3 linked regions of the Rattus norvegicus genome follow. Each later gene encodes a partner of the first gene's protein in a complex. Links are inferred from orthologs where the notes say so. Each region holds a gene or a part of one and is shown in the gene's direction. Other genes may lie near its edges.

Region 1 (3,784 bases):
GGGAAGCAAGGGTTGCTCCAGGTGAAGCACACTGTCCCCTCTTCACACCGTTGTCTCTCTTTGGGTTAGGGTCTCACGTATCCCAGGCGGGTTTTGAACTCACTGTGTAGTTTACCAAGTGCTAGTATTATACGCATGTGTAAGCGTGCTGGGCTTACTTTTTGTACTATATTTCTTGTTATCTTTAATCTGGAATTTTTAAATTTTATTTACTATTACTACCGTGTGTGGAGGTACACATGGATGCCGCAGTGCACACGTGGAGCCCAGAGGCCGATTTCGGGGCATCTGTCCTTCCTGCTTTATGTGGGTTCTGTCCGGACACCCATCTCACACGGAAAATCCTCTCCCAACCTGCTAAGCCGTCTCTCTCAACGTCTTTATTTTTTTTTTTTTCCAATTAGTATTATTTGACCAGCCAGGAATGATTTCTGTTTTGGAGGCTGGGGAGTCTAGTGAGATGACCCCCAGGGGTAAAGGTGCTGGCGACCATAAAGACCTAAATTTGATGCCCAGGCAAATGGATTGAGCCCTGGGATTTCAGGGTGGGAGACAAGGATTTCAGGGTGGGAGACAGGATTTCAGGGTGGGAGACAGGATTTCAGGGTGGGAGACAAGGATTTCAGGGTGGGAGACAAGGATTTCAGGGTGGGAGACAAGGATTTCAGGGTGGGAGACAAGGATTTCAGGGTGGGAGACAGGATTTCAGGGTGGGAGACAGGATTTCAGGGTGGGAGACAGGATTTCAGGGTGGGAGACAGGATTTCAGGGTGGGAGACAAGAATTTCAGGGTGGGAGACAGGATTTCAGGGTGGGAGACAGGATTTCAGGGTGGGAGACAGGATTTCAGGGTGGGAGACAGGATTTCAGGGTGGGAGACAGGATTGCAGGGTGGGAGACAGGATTGCAGGGTGGGAGACAGGATTGCAGGGTGGGAGACAGGATTGCAGGGTGGGAGACCGGATTTCAGGGTGGGAGACAGGATTGCAGGGTGGGAGACAGGATTGCAGGGTGGGAGACCTTTGTTCTCCAGTGTTGAGCTGGGCTCACTTTGCTGTTCCTTCCCAAGGTTAACAGAGCAGGAATTGTGCTTCCCGCTGCACATGGGAGTACTCAGAGGCATTGGGGTTTGTAAAGTACATATTGTAGCCTCTTTTTGTAGTTTTTGTTTTGTTTCAACCTCATGTTTGGCCTCAAAAAACAATGACTACCTCCTAGCCGTAAGTGCTGCAGGAGTTACTGCCAGGCAGATCCTGTGATAGCCTCCCCCTCTGAGGAACTGCAGCTATAAAGAAGGCTGTTGCAGCTGACTTGGGCAAGTACCAGGATGTGGGTGCATCCTGGTGGTGGAGGCAGAGCCCTCTTCCTGGGGATGGAGTGATGAGCTGGTTGTTCACTTCCAAGCCCTCCAGCGTGACAGCGTGTTAGAGAGGGCGAGGGCTGCAAAAAGTAGACACCAGGCTGACCTCAAACTCACAGAGATCTGCCTGCCTCTGCCTCCAGTGCTGGAATTAAAGGCACACACCACCACTGCCCGCCTGGCTTGCTTCATACTTTTCATAGTGTACGGGGTTGGGAGTTATATTAAAAATGAAATACCTTTGGAGTCTGGTGACTTCTGTCCCCTGTCAGCCTCTAGCAGGCCACCAGAATCCCTAGAAAGAGAATTAACTTTCTCTTTGCTGACCGTGAGCTTCTTTACTGTGAAGAGATTGTCTGAGTACGTGGGGCTAGATTAGTTCCTATAATATGCCTAAAGAACTATGTGCTGTGTTTCAGGTCTTGGGAGCCCCATCTTTCCGAATGTTGGCCTGGCATGTCCTCATGGGTAATCAGGTGATCTGGAAAAGCAGAGATGTGAACCTTGTCCATTCCGCATTTGAAGTCCTCCGGGTGAGAACCTTCCCCTGTATGCTAATGCTTGACTTGGGACAGACTATTAGGGGTACCACCAGCTCAGAGCCTCGGAAAAATTGGTTTTCCTTGCCTGGTAAAAATGGCGGTCATTGATGCTCCCATGGAAGGATCCTGTATTGTCACTGTTGACGGCTACACTGTCTCCCTTTCTCAACCTGAAACTCTTCTGAGAAGTTATCTGAGCAAGAACTGGCACTTGCTGATGCTACATGGCTGTTCTCAAGTTGGGTGGTGGTGTAGGATCATCTCACAGCATGTCTGCTGGCTGCCAGAACCCTCAAGTGCTTCTCCATGCAATGAGCATCTGAATGGGCAAGGAGACCCAGAGGAGGCAGCACATGTCAGCGTTGATCTATGACTGCCCCCCAGGACCAGAATTGGGGGCATCTGGGCGGGAGACTACACATGGGCTGAGAGACTATGGACACACTGAGGAGGGAGGCTGTGGACCAGCTGCAGAGGGTGCATTTGTGGTGAATTCTGAGCACCTTGTTGTCCACAGACCATGCTGCCTGTAGGCTGTGTGCGAATCATCCCTTACAGCAGCCAGTATGAGGAGGCCTATCGCTGCAACTTCCTAGGGCTCAGCCCTCCGGTGCCTATCCCTGCTCATGTCCTGGCCTCTGGTGAGTGCCCTCTGTGAGACACGTACTGCCCACTGCTCTGAAAGACTCCTGTATCCAGCCCAGGGGTGCCCCTGGATCCAAGTCATAGATTTTAGGGCAAGGCTGTGCTCTGCCGCTCCAGCTGGGATGCACTGGGGTTGCCCCAAGCCTGGAGCAGCAGTGCCCTCTGTTTGCAGTAGGACCAGTCTGTGCAGAGATGTTTGGCTGTAAAGTTCTTATACCACTAGCCGTGTGTGTGTGTGTGTGTGTGTGTGTGTGTGTGTGTGTGTGTGTGTGTGTGTGTGTGTGTGTGGCCACTGAACCCTCAAGGCAGTTTCCATATACAGCATTGGTTCTCAATCTCCCTAAAGCTGTGACCCTTTAATGCGGTTCCTCATGTTGTGGTGACCCCAACCATTAAATTGCTTTTGTTGTTACAACTGTAATTTTGCTACTGTTATGAGTTGTAATATAAATATCTCTGTTTTCCAGTGGTCTTAGGTGACCCCTGTGAAAGGGTTGTTCGACCCCAAGAGGGTTGCAACCACCAGGTTGAGAACCACCAGTCTACAGGATAGAATAATAGTGAAACCATCCACTGAGGCTGCTTAGAATGAATTTACCTGAGTCATGTATGTTCAGTGTAATGTACCAGTTAGTTCTAATTTAACTGAGGCAAGAATTCAATTAATGAATCAACTGCAAAAGGCATTAAGCCCTTTCTCAGAGGAGGCTTGTCCCTGAGGTTTGAGTCTGGGGGTCTTGCAGTGGGGTCAAGGGACACTTTACAAGCTAGCACGTGTTTTGTTGCTACAGAGTTCGTAGTTGTCGTGGAGGTACACACAGCCACTCGCTCAAACCCGCACCCGGCTGGATGTGAGGACGACCAGTCCCTCAGCAAGTATGAGTTTGTGGTGACCAGCGGTAGCCCTGTGGCTGCAGACAGAGGTGGGTGCTGCTGCTGTCTCCCTTCATCGGGGAGGGGAGGGGTCACCGAGGCCTCTGCATCGTCTGGTGTTTGTATCTCCAGTTGGGCCCACCATCCTGAATAAAATGGAGGCAGCTCTGACCAACCAGAACCTGTCTGTGGATGTGGTGGACCAGTGCCTCGTCTGTCTCAAGGAGGAGTGGATGAAGTAAGCCCCAGCCTTGCCTTGACAGCTTCCCGGGCTGGGGGTGGGGGTGGGGGTGGGGGGTGAGGGTGGGGATGTGGAGGGGTGGGGCAGCTCACCATGGCAGTGCACTTTCATGCCAAAAAGCAG
Region 2 (3,784 bases), about 6.0 Mb from region 1:
TTGTGGACACTAAGAGCTGATCGCTTGTTTCCAGTAGCACTGTTTTCTTGGTTGTACTATGCCAAAAATGATTATCGTAGAGACTCTTGTAAATTTAGTATTAATATACGAATTTCCTCCAAGTACACTTTAAAATGGAAAGATGAGGCACATTCATGAAACAAAATAAAATATTTAGTTTACTCTGTTCAACCTGTTAAATAGAAACTTGCCACCATGCTTACTCCTTGACTAATAGTTACATTTGCTCTTCTGCCGTAACAGCATCTCTGAGCAGCCTGCTCATCACCCCATTTCCCTCCCCAAACTCCTCACTCACCCGAAGCTGTGCCAGCAGCTACCAGCGACGTTGGCGACGTAGCCAAACAACAAGTTTGGAAAATGGGGTATTTCCTAGATGGTAAGTTGAGATTGAAAAAGATTGACTAGTTTTTAGAGTTTGAGACTTGTATTTTGTGTATTCGAAGTCTGTAATTGGAAACTTAAAATTTTATTACTTTTTTAATTGTAGCAAGACAGATTAAAAACAATTTTCTGTTTTAATCATTTTTACCATATGGTTCGGTGACACTAAATGCCTTCACACCATCACTACTCCTTAAGTCCTGAACTTTTTCATCTTCCCAAACTGAAGCCCTGAAGTTATTACACAGTAACTCCCTACTCTTCATTTGCCCTTTGTAATCAGTATGCTAATTCTAAACGTTTGTAGTGTAAAATTTTTTAGTTTGTCTAGATGTCTATGAGAATGTATGCCACTTGTGTACGGGTACCCATGGAAGGCAGAGGAAAATCCTTGGATCATGTGTAGACATAGGTGTGTGCACATGTGTCAGGGCACACAGAAAAGAGGCAGTTTTGAGCTGCCTAACATGGATGCTGAGAACTAAACTTGAGTCCTCTGGGAAAGCATAAGTGTTCACAATGGCTGAACTATCACCCCAGCGCTACTATTTTTTATCTCCATAAACTTATAAATACCTTGCATAAGTGGAATCATGAAGTACTTACCCTTCTATATCTGGCTTTTTTTGTTCAGTATGCCTTTGAAGTTCACCTGTGGTGTAGCATATATAAGAAAATTATATTTGTAGCCAAATAACATTACACTAGAAGTACATTTGGGGGTTGGAGGGATGGCACTTTCAGTAAATCGCTTGCTGCGTAAGCATGAGAATTTGTGTTCAGATCCCCAGCACATTACCCATGTAAAAATCCAGGTGCACCTCTTATCCCAGCACTGGGCAAGCAGAAGCAGAAGGATTCCTGAAGCTTGCTGGCCAGAACATTTAGCTGAATTGATGAGCTCCAGGTTCAGTGAACAGACGTCATCTCAGAAAATAAGGTGGCGAATCATTAGGAATATACCCAGTGTCAACCTCTGACCTGTACATACATACCTACATACGTGCACGCACACGTGTGCATATGCGTCCGTGTATGCACAGCAGTATACCCTTTCTCTATTTGTTCAAGAATACATAGATGTTTCTTCTTTTTAGCAGTTGTGAACAGCACTGCTATGAACATGGGTTATAAACATTAGTTTCAGTCTATGCCTTATATCCTTACGGGTATATGCCCAGAAGTGGACTTACTGAGTTGTATAGTTAGTCTATTTTTAAGGAACTGCCATACAGTGACTGTATGATTTCACATTCGTAACAGCAATGTAAAGACAGTCCTGAAATCTTTGTATGTTCACCAACACATTATTTTCTGCTTTAGTTCTGTTTTAGTCATGTGTATGGAAGCCCATAACCACCTGTATGTGAGACGTTATACCTCCATAACCTCCTGTATGCGAGGCGTTATACCTCCGAGTTGTACTCTACCACTGAGTTCCATTCTCAGTCCCACTCCTTAGTAATTTTCATCCCAATGAAACAGAAGTGATTCACAAATGCTTTTTGGTCATTCATACATCATCGTTAGAGGAGTAAATATTCAACCCTTTGCTGTTTGTTTTATTGTTGCTGTTGAGAAGTTAGGAGACATCTTTGAATATTTGGATTATTTGTTCTTTACTAGATACATGGTTTGCACATATTTCCTGCCATTCTGTGGATTGTGTTTGTCTCCTGCTGCTGCTCATGTACTTGAATACAGTTGTTTTTTTGTAGCATTTGTTTCTGTGCTGTTGCTGGTGACTTTTCTGTTCTATCAGAGAAATCATGGCCAAAGTTAGTACGTTGAAGCTCTTTGCTTTCTTCAGAGAGTTCTGGGTTTAAGCACTTTGTTCTTGCCCCACATATTTTAGTGCTTTAATTTTTCATGATTCTATTTAGGCAGCTTGCTCAGTCTCAAGATTTTTTTTTTTTTTAGCTTGTGCTAAAGTACAACTGTAGATTTAGAAACTTAATGTTTCCTCATTTATTTTACTTACTTTCTTTTACTTTCATCAGATACTTTTAGCTTACTTTTTGAACTGGAGTTATCTGCTTCTTTAAGACTTCTAGTAAGAAGCAAGATTCTTAACCATTTCCAACTTGATTCTGGTAAACTCTTTAAAAAAATGAAAAATAGATTTTTTTTGGAGAGGTAACAATTGTTAAACATTGTAAATTTATATTTAATTTGATGAAACAACAGAAGAGCTTTTGCTCACCTACATTGAATTAGCAGGGAGATAAACTATTGATGTTTTAAACAAAAACATTTATTTTTAAGGTCTATAGAAGAAAGCTTTAATCTGTCAGATGAAAGTTGTGGCCCTAACCCAGGAATTGTGAGGAAAAAGAAGATTGCAATTGGGGTAATCTTTTCATTATCCAAAGATGAAGATGAAAATAACAAATTCAATGAATTCTTTTTTTCACATTTTCCTCTCTTTGAAAGCCACATGAACAAATTAAAGAGTGCAATAGAACAGGTAAGTGTGGTCCTTTGTATTTTATTTCTATCTTTTACTTTGCATTTTGTTCCTTTTAATAAGAGTTACGTTTATTCATTTGGAAAACTTTGATAGGTGTCTTGAACTTACTGTACAACCTGCTCCAAGAGCTGCAAACAGATGCAGTGTTGTTAAAGGAGTTGACTGTTTTAGTCAAAGGCCTAAGACAGTTGATTCATAAGAGGCTGTAGGAAACTGGAGGATAGTGCACAGGCACTCCTGAGTTCCTAAGCTAGCAGGGAGTAGGTGGGATGGTGAATACATATGCATTTGAGGTGCTAGGCAGTGCTCTGAGGTGAAGCAGAGCAGTGTTCTTATTTTCCTTTATCTTCCATAGAGTTAAGAGAAAGAGCATTAACGTATGTAAGGTAGTAAAGGCATGGAGCTGATTTATTAGATAGGAAGAAGAGAGCGGAATGTCTGAGCCATCAGACACTTCAACAGGTAGGATCTATTTAAAAGAGATTTAAAGATGGGGCAAGGAAATCATTTGGAATGTTCCACAGAAACTCAGTAGTAACTGGGGATTTTTCTGCTGTAGGGAAGACACAGATGTTTGCTTACATTAAACCAATTAAAAATAGATAATTTTGCTGCACAAATGAATTAATACTGTCTAAGTTTTTCAAGTTTAACATTGGTCATATATATTTTTTAAGTTGGCTGCTCTCCTTTTGTGTAGATTATTAACATCAAAGTTGATAGACTTGTAGTTCTTGTATCTGAAACATTTTGAGTGACTTGAAAAACTTCTTATAGTGTTGTAGTTTGGGATTGGATCTTTTGCATTGGTTTGGTTTGGTTTGGTTGAGATTAGTCTCACTCTATAGCCCAGGCTGGTCTGGTGCTCAGTCCTGTCTTTACTTCTCAGGTGCAGGGTTGCAGTGGGCA
Region 3 (3,784 bases), on another chromosome or scaffold:
GAAGTGCCTAAAAATCCAGAGACCCAGTATCAGAAAGAGTGAGGAGAAGAAAACAGACAAAGGCTCTTTGTTTTTACCTTTGTCACTGTCGCCACAGCTGAACCCTTTTCTGCTTCTATAAACCAAGGAGTGATAAAACATAAACTCTTCAATAATTAACATGCATACCAAATATCCTCACCATTTCAGTAGGGCAGAGCACACTCATTGAATTTCTAGAAAAGTGTCCATAAACACACCTGGGAGCATGGTTTAGCAAGTAGGTATGCATGCACACACACATGTTTTTCAGAAACACGCATGAAACAGGGCAGGGGACTTAGCTTGGTAGTAGTGCCCTTCCTAGAGTGCGCAACTCCCTGGTTCAGTCTTTAGTGCCACAGGAGGGAAAACAGAAATATATATGTATGTATGTATGTATGTATGTATGTATGTATATATATATGTATGTATGTATGTGTATGTGTATGTATATGTATGCTTGAGAAGTACCACCATGAGCCTGAGATACATATGCCTAGAAATCAGAATGACTTTGTAATACTGACCTTTGTTTTCTTGTAGCGTTGAAGGGCTCCATGCAATCGTTGTGTCAGATAGAGATGGGGTGCCTGTTATTAAAGGTAACACTGACTGCTTCCTGCACATTTACTTTTGACAGGAATGTTTTGTATTTAAATAAGTAAAAATATGCGGAGTTTATTGCAACAAACTGGGAAAACCACTTTAGTGGTTTGAGGAAGTACGTATTTTGTCTGCTGGGACCTCGGTCTGGGACCCATAGTGAAGTGGTCCGCGTAACGTCTGGACCACTCTGCGTGCTTCCCATTGAGATGCTATGGCACAGCACAAGCCTAAGCATAGCTTTAGGGTGGAAACTGGGTGTGCAAGGCAGGCAGGCAGCCAACCCCTAACCAGGGCACTGGCTCACACTGGTGGTTTTTAATCTTGCCGGTCTTTACTACAAATATATTTCTTAAAACTTTAATGTCATCATTATTTACATTGATCAGAATCCGAGACGTTTTTAAAAATACATCTGCATAAATCCTTGAGAATTCTGTGCATGCACACAGTGTGTTTTGATCATGTTCACGACCACCCCAGATCCCCCCAACATGGTTTGGTCTGTTCTCGGCTTTTTTGAGCACACATTCGCTGTAACAGATAGTGTGAACTCGTTTCTTCTGGCATGATCAAAGTGGACTTGGCTAATTTCCCTTACCAAAGATTAAAGATGAGATTGCATCTTACGCATTGTTTACAGTCTCTTTTCCACATCAGGACAAACATGTCAGGCAGTTTTAGGCATGAGGAGGGAAGTGTGCTTTAGAGGTCACCTGGCTTAGTTCTTCCACTTCATCCATTAGCATATGGGTCAGGTGCAGAGGGGACGCTGCCTGCCCAGAGCTGAGCACTGAGTTGGTGACAAGACATGATAGAGTCCATTGACTCCGTGCCACCCACCACACAGCGTGGGCAGCTGTGGGCAGGCCGCCTTTCCCTTCTCACCCCTATAAAGAGGGCTCAGGTGATTCTGCGGCCCTTTTGTTCTTTCACAGAATCTCTGTGAACCACTGAAACTCCATACTTAGCTGATGCAGCTAATACTAGTCTGGCCTTAGTGAGTGACAGGAACATGAAGATGGCAGCCAGCTCTTGGGCTGTAGGAAGACTTTCTAGCTTTTTCCATTTTCTTCTGTCTACAGTGTAGTAGTATAGTATAGTATAGTATAGTATAGATTAGTATAGTATATATAGATTAGAATAGTATAGTATAGATTAGTATAGTATGGTATAGATTAGTATAGTATGGTATAGTATAGAATAGTATAGTATAGATTAGAATAGTATAGTATAGATTAGTATAGTATAGTATAGATTAGTATAGTATGGTATAGATTAGTATAGTATAGTATAGATTAGTATAGTATGGTATAGTATAGAATAGTATAGTATAGATTAGTATAGTATAGTATAGATTAGTATAGTATGGTATAGTATAGAATAGTATAGTATAGATTAGTATAGTATGGTATAGTATAGAATAGTATAGTATAGATTAGTATAGTATAGTATAGATTAGTATAGTATAGTATAGATTAGTATAGTATAGTGATTAGTTATAGTCTCAGATGACCAGAATATTCATTTTGTTACATGTAAGTCAGCATTTTTTCCTTCAGCTATTTATGGCCCCAGACCTGAGACCCAGTTATCAACATGGTAAATGTAGGGTTTTCAAATGGTAAATGTTCTGTTGTGTCTAGGCTTTTACTGGTCTGTGTGCTTTAGAACTTGCTGTCAGCTCTTCCCATCCTACTCTGCATAACGTTTGTTTACTCGCTCATCCCAGTGGCTAACGACAGTGCTCCAGAACATGCCCTGAGGCCTGGCTTCTTGTCCACTTTCGCCCTCGCAACAGACCAAGGCAGCAAGCTCGGACTTTCAAAAAATAAAAGCATCATCTGCTACTATAATACCTACCAGGTCTGTATACTCGGTTTGGAGCACTGAACACTTGGCTGGTTTCACCAACCATTTTTACACCTTTGGTATAAATTGTTTTTAGCATAGATCTAAATTTTAGTACGAGGGGGATAGAATTTTTAATATTTAGCCTAAACTAATCTTTTTTAGAAAGGGAATAATTATTATGGAAAAGTACTTAAAACTTTAAAAATAAAGAGCTTGTTATGCAGTGTTAAAGTATGTGTCAGATCATTGACTCCAGTAGATGGTGCCGTTAGCTTGCATAGCTGAGATTCTTCCACAGCTGCTGCTGTGACAGGTACAAAGCACTTGCTTTGAAAGCTCAGTGACCAGCTGTTTCCATTTGTGTACGTGCAACATTGCTATTTCAATCTCTCTTTTCAGGTGGTTCAATTCAATCGTTTGCCTCTGGTGGTGAGTTTTATAGCCAGCAGCAATGCCAACACAGGTACGTTAGAAGGGCCACAGATGCAGACTGTAATTCTTTATAGCACTGTGCCTGTGCAGTGTGACAGATTAGGACTGACAGAGGGAGAGACCTGCATCTGTGCCTCAGCACAGTTCCCACATCTGCCTCCTTCCGGGGCCTTGTCCCTCTCCAGGGTTGTTTTCAGGTACACTCGAGGGGAGGCAGGACGGGGGAGTTTTTGCCGCAGGAACTCGTCGACTCAGTGTTGCGTTTCCTGTGTTGTTTGTGACTCACACTGAAACAGCCTGCAAAAAGGAAGGGCTACAGAACATAAGCTGAACAGAACACATGTGGAGTGCTGTAAGAATAACTTAATTCGAGTCCACAAATGGGACCTCATAAAACTGCAAAGCTTCTGTAAGGCAAAGGACACTGTCATTGGGACAAAACGGCAACCAACAGATTGGGAAAAGATCTTTACCAATCCTACATCTGATAGAGGGCTAATATCCAATATATATAAAGAACTCAAGACGTTAGACTTCAGAGAATCAAATAACCCTATTAAAAATGGGGTACAGAGCTAAACAAAGAATTCACAGCTGAGGAATGCCGAATGGCTGAGAAACACCTAAAGAAATGTTCAACATCTTTAGTCATAAGGGAAATGCAAATCAAAACAACCCTGAGATTTCACCTCACACCAGTGAGAATGGCTAAGATCAAAAACTCAGGTGACAGCAGATTCTGGCGAGGATGTGGAGAAAGAGGAACACTCCTCCATTGTTGGTGGGATTGCAAACTGGTACAACCACTCCAGAAATCAGTTTGGAGGTTCCTCAGAAAATTGGACATTGCACTACCTGAGGACCCAGCTTTACC

The links. Proteins that work in one complex are often made in the same cells at the same time.
Region 2: Flcn (region 1) and Fnip1 share a complex: the UniProt entries of both Homo sapiens proteins name them as parts of the lysosomal folliculin complex. The link is inferred for Rattus norvegicus from reciprocal best matches to the Homo sapiens genes FLCN and FNIP1.
Region 3: Flcn (region 1) and Lamtor3 share a complex: the UniProt entries of both Homo sapiens proteins name them as parts of the lysosomal folliculin complex. The link is inferred for Rattus norvegicus from reciprocal best matches to the Homo sapiens genes FLCN and LAMTOR3.

What each region holds. Positions count from the first base shown.
Region 1 is NC_086028.1:45,090,285-45,094,068, reverse strand, and holds part of Flcn (folliculin), read left to right. Parts: intron 1-1,779; coding exon 1,780-1,893; intron 1,894-2,419; coding exon 2,420-2,543; intron 2,544-3,338; coding exon 3,339-3,470; intron 3,471-3,552; coding exon 3,553-3,658; intron 3,659-3,784. UniProt on the Homo sapiens protein: Multi-functional protein, involved in both the cellular response to amino acid availability and in the regulation of glycolysis.
Region 2 is NC_086028.1:39,123,753-39,127,536, forward strand, and holds part of Fnip1 (folliculin-interacting protein 1), read left to right. Parts: intron 1-264; coding exon 265-400; intron 401-2,670; coding exon 2,671-2,872; intron 2,873-3,784. UniProt on the Homo sapiens protein: Binding partner of the GTPase-activating protein FLCN: involved in the cellular response to amino acid availability by regulating the non-canonical mTORC1 signaling cascade controlling the MiT/TFE factors TFEB and TFE3.
Region 3 is NC_086020.1:229,091,179-229,094,962, forward strand, and holds part of Lamtor3 (ragulator complex protein LAMTOR3), read left to right. Parts: intron 1-564; coding exon 565-623; intron 624-2,356; coding exon 2,357-2,490; intron 2,491-2,877; coding exon 2,878-2,941; coding exon of another isoform or gene 2,942-3,201; exon of another isoform or gene 3,202-3,784. UniProt on the Homo sapiens protein: As part of the Ragulator complex it is involved in amino acid sensing and activation of mTORC1, a signaling complex promoting cell growth in response to growth factors, energy levels, and amino acids.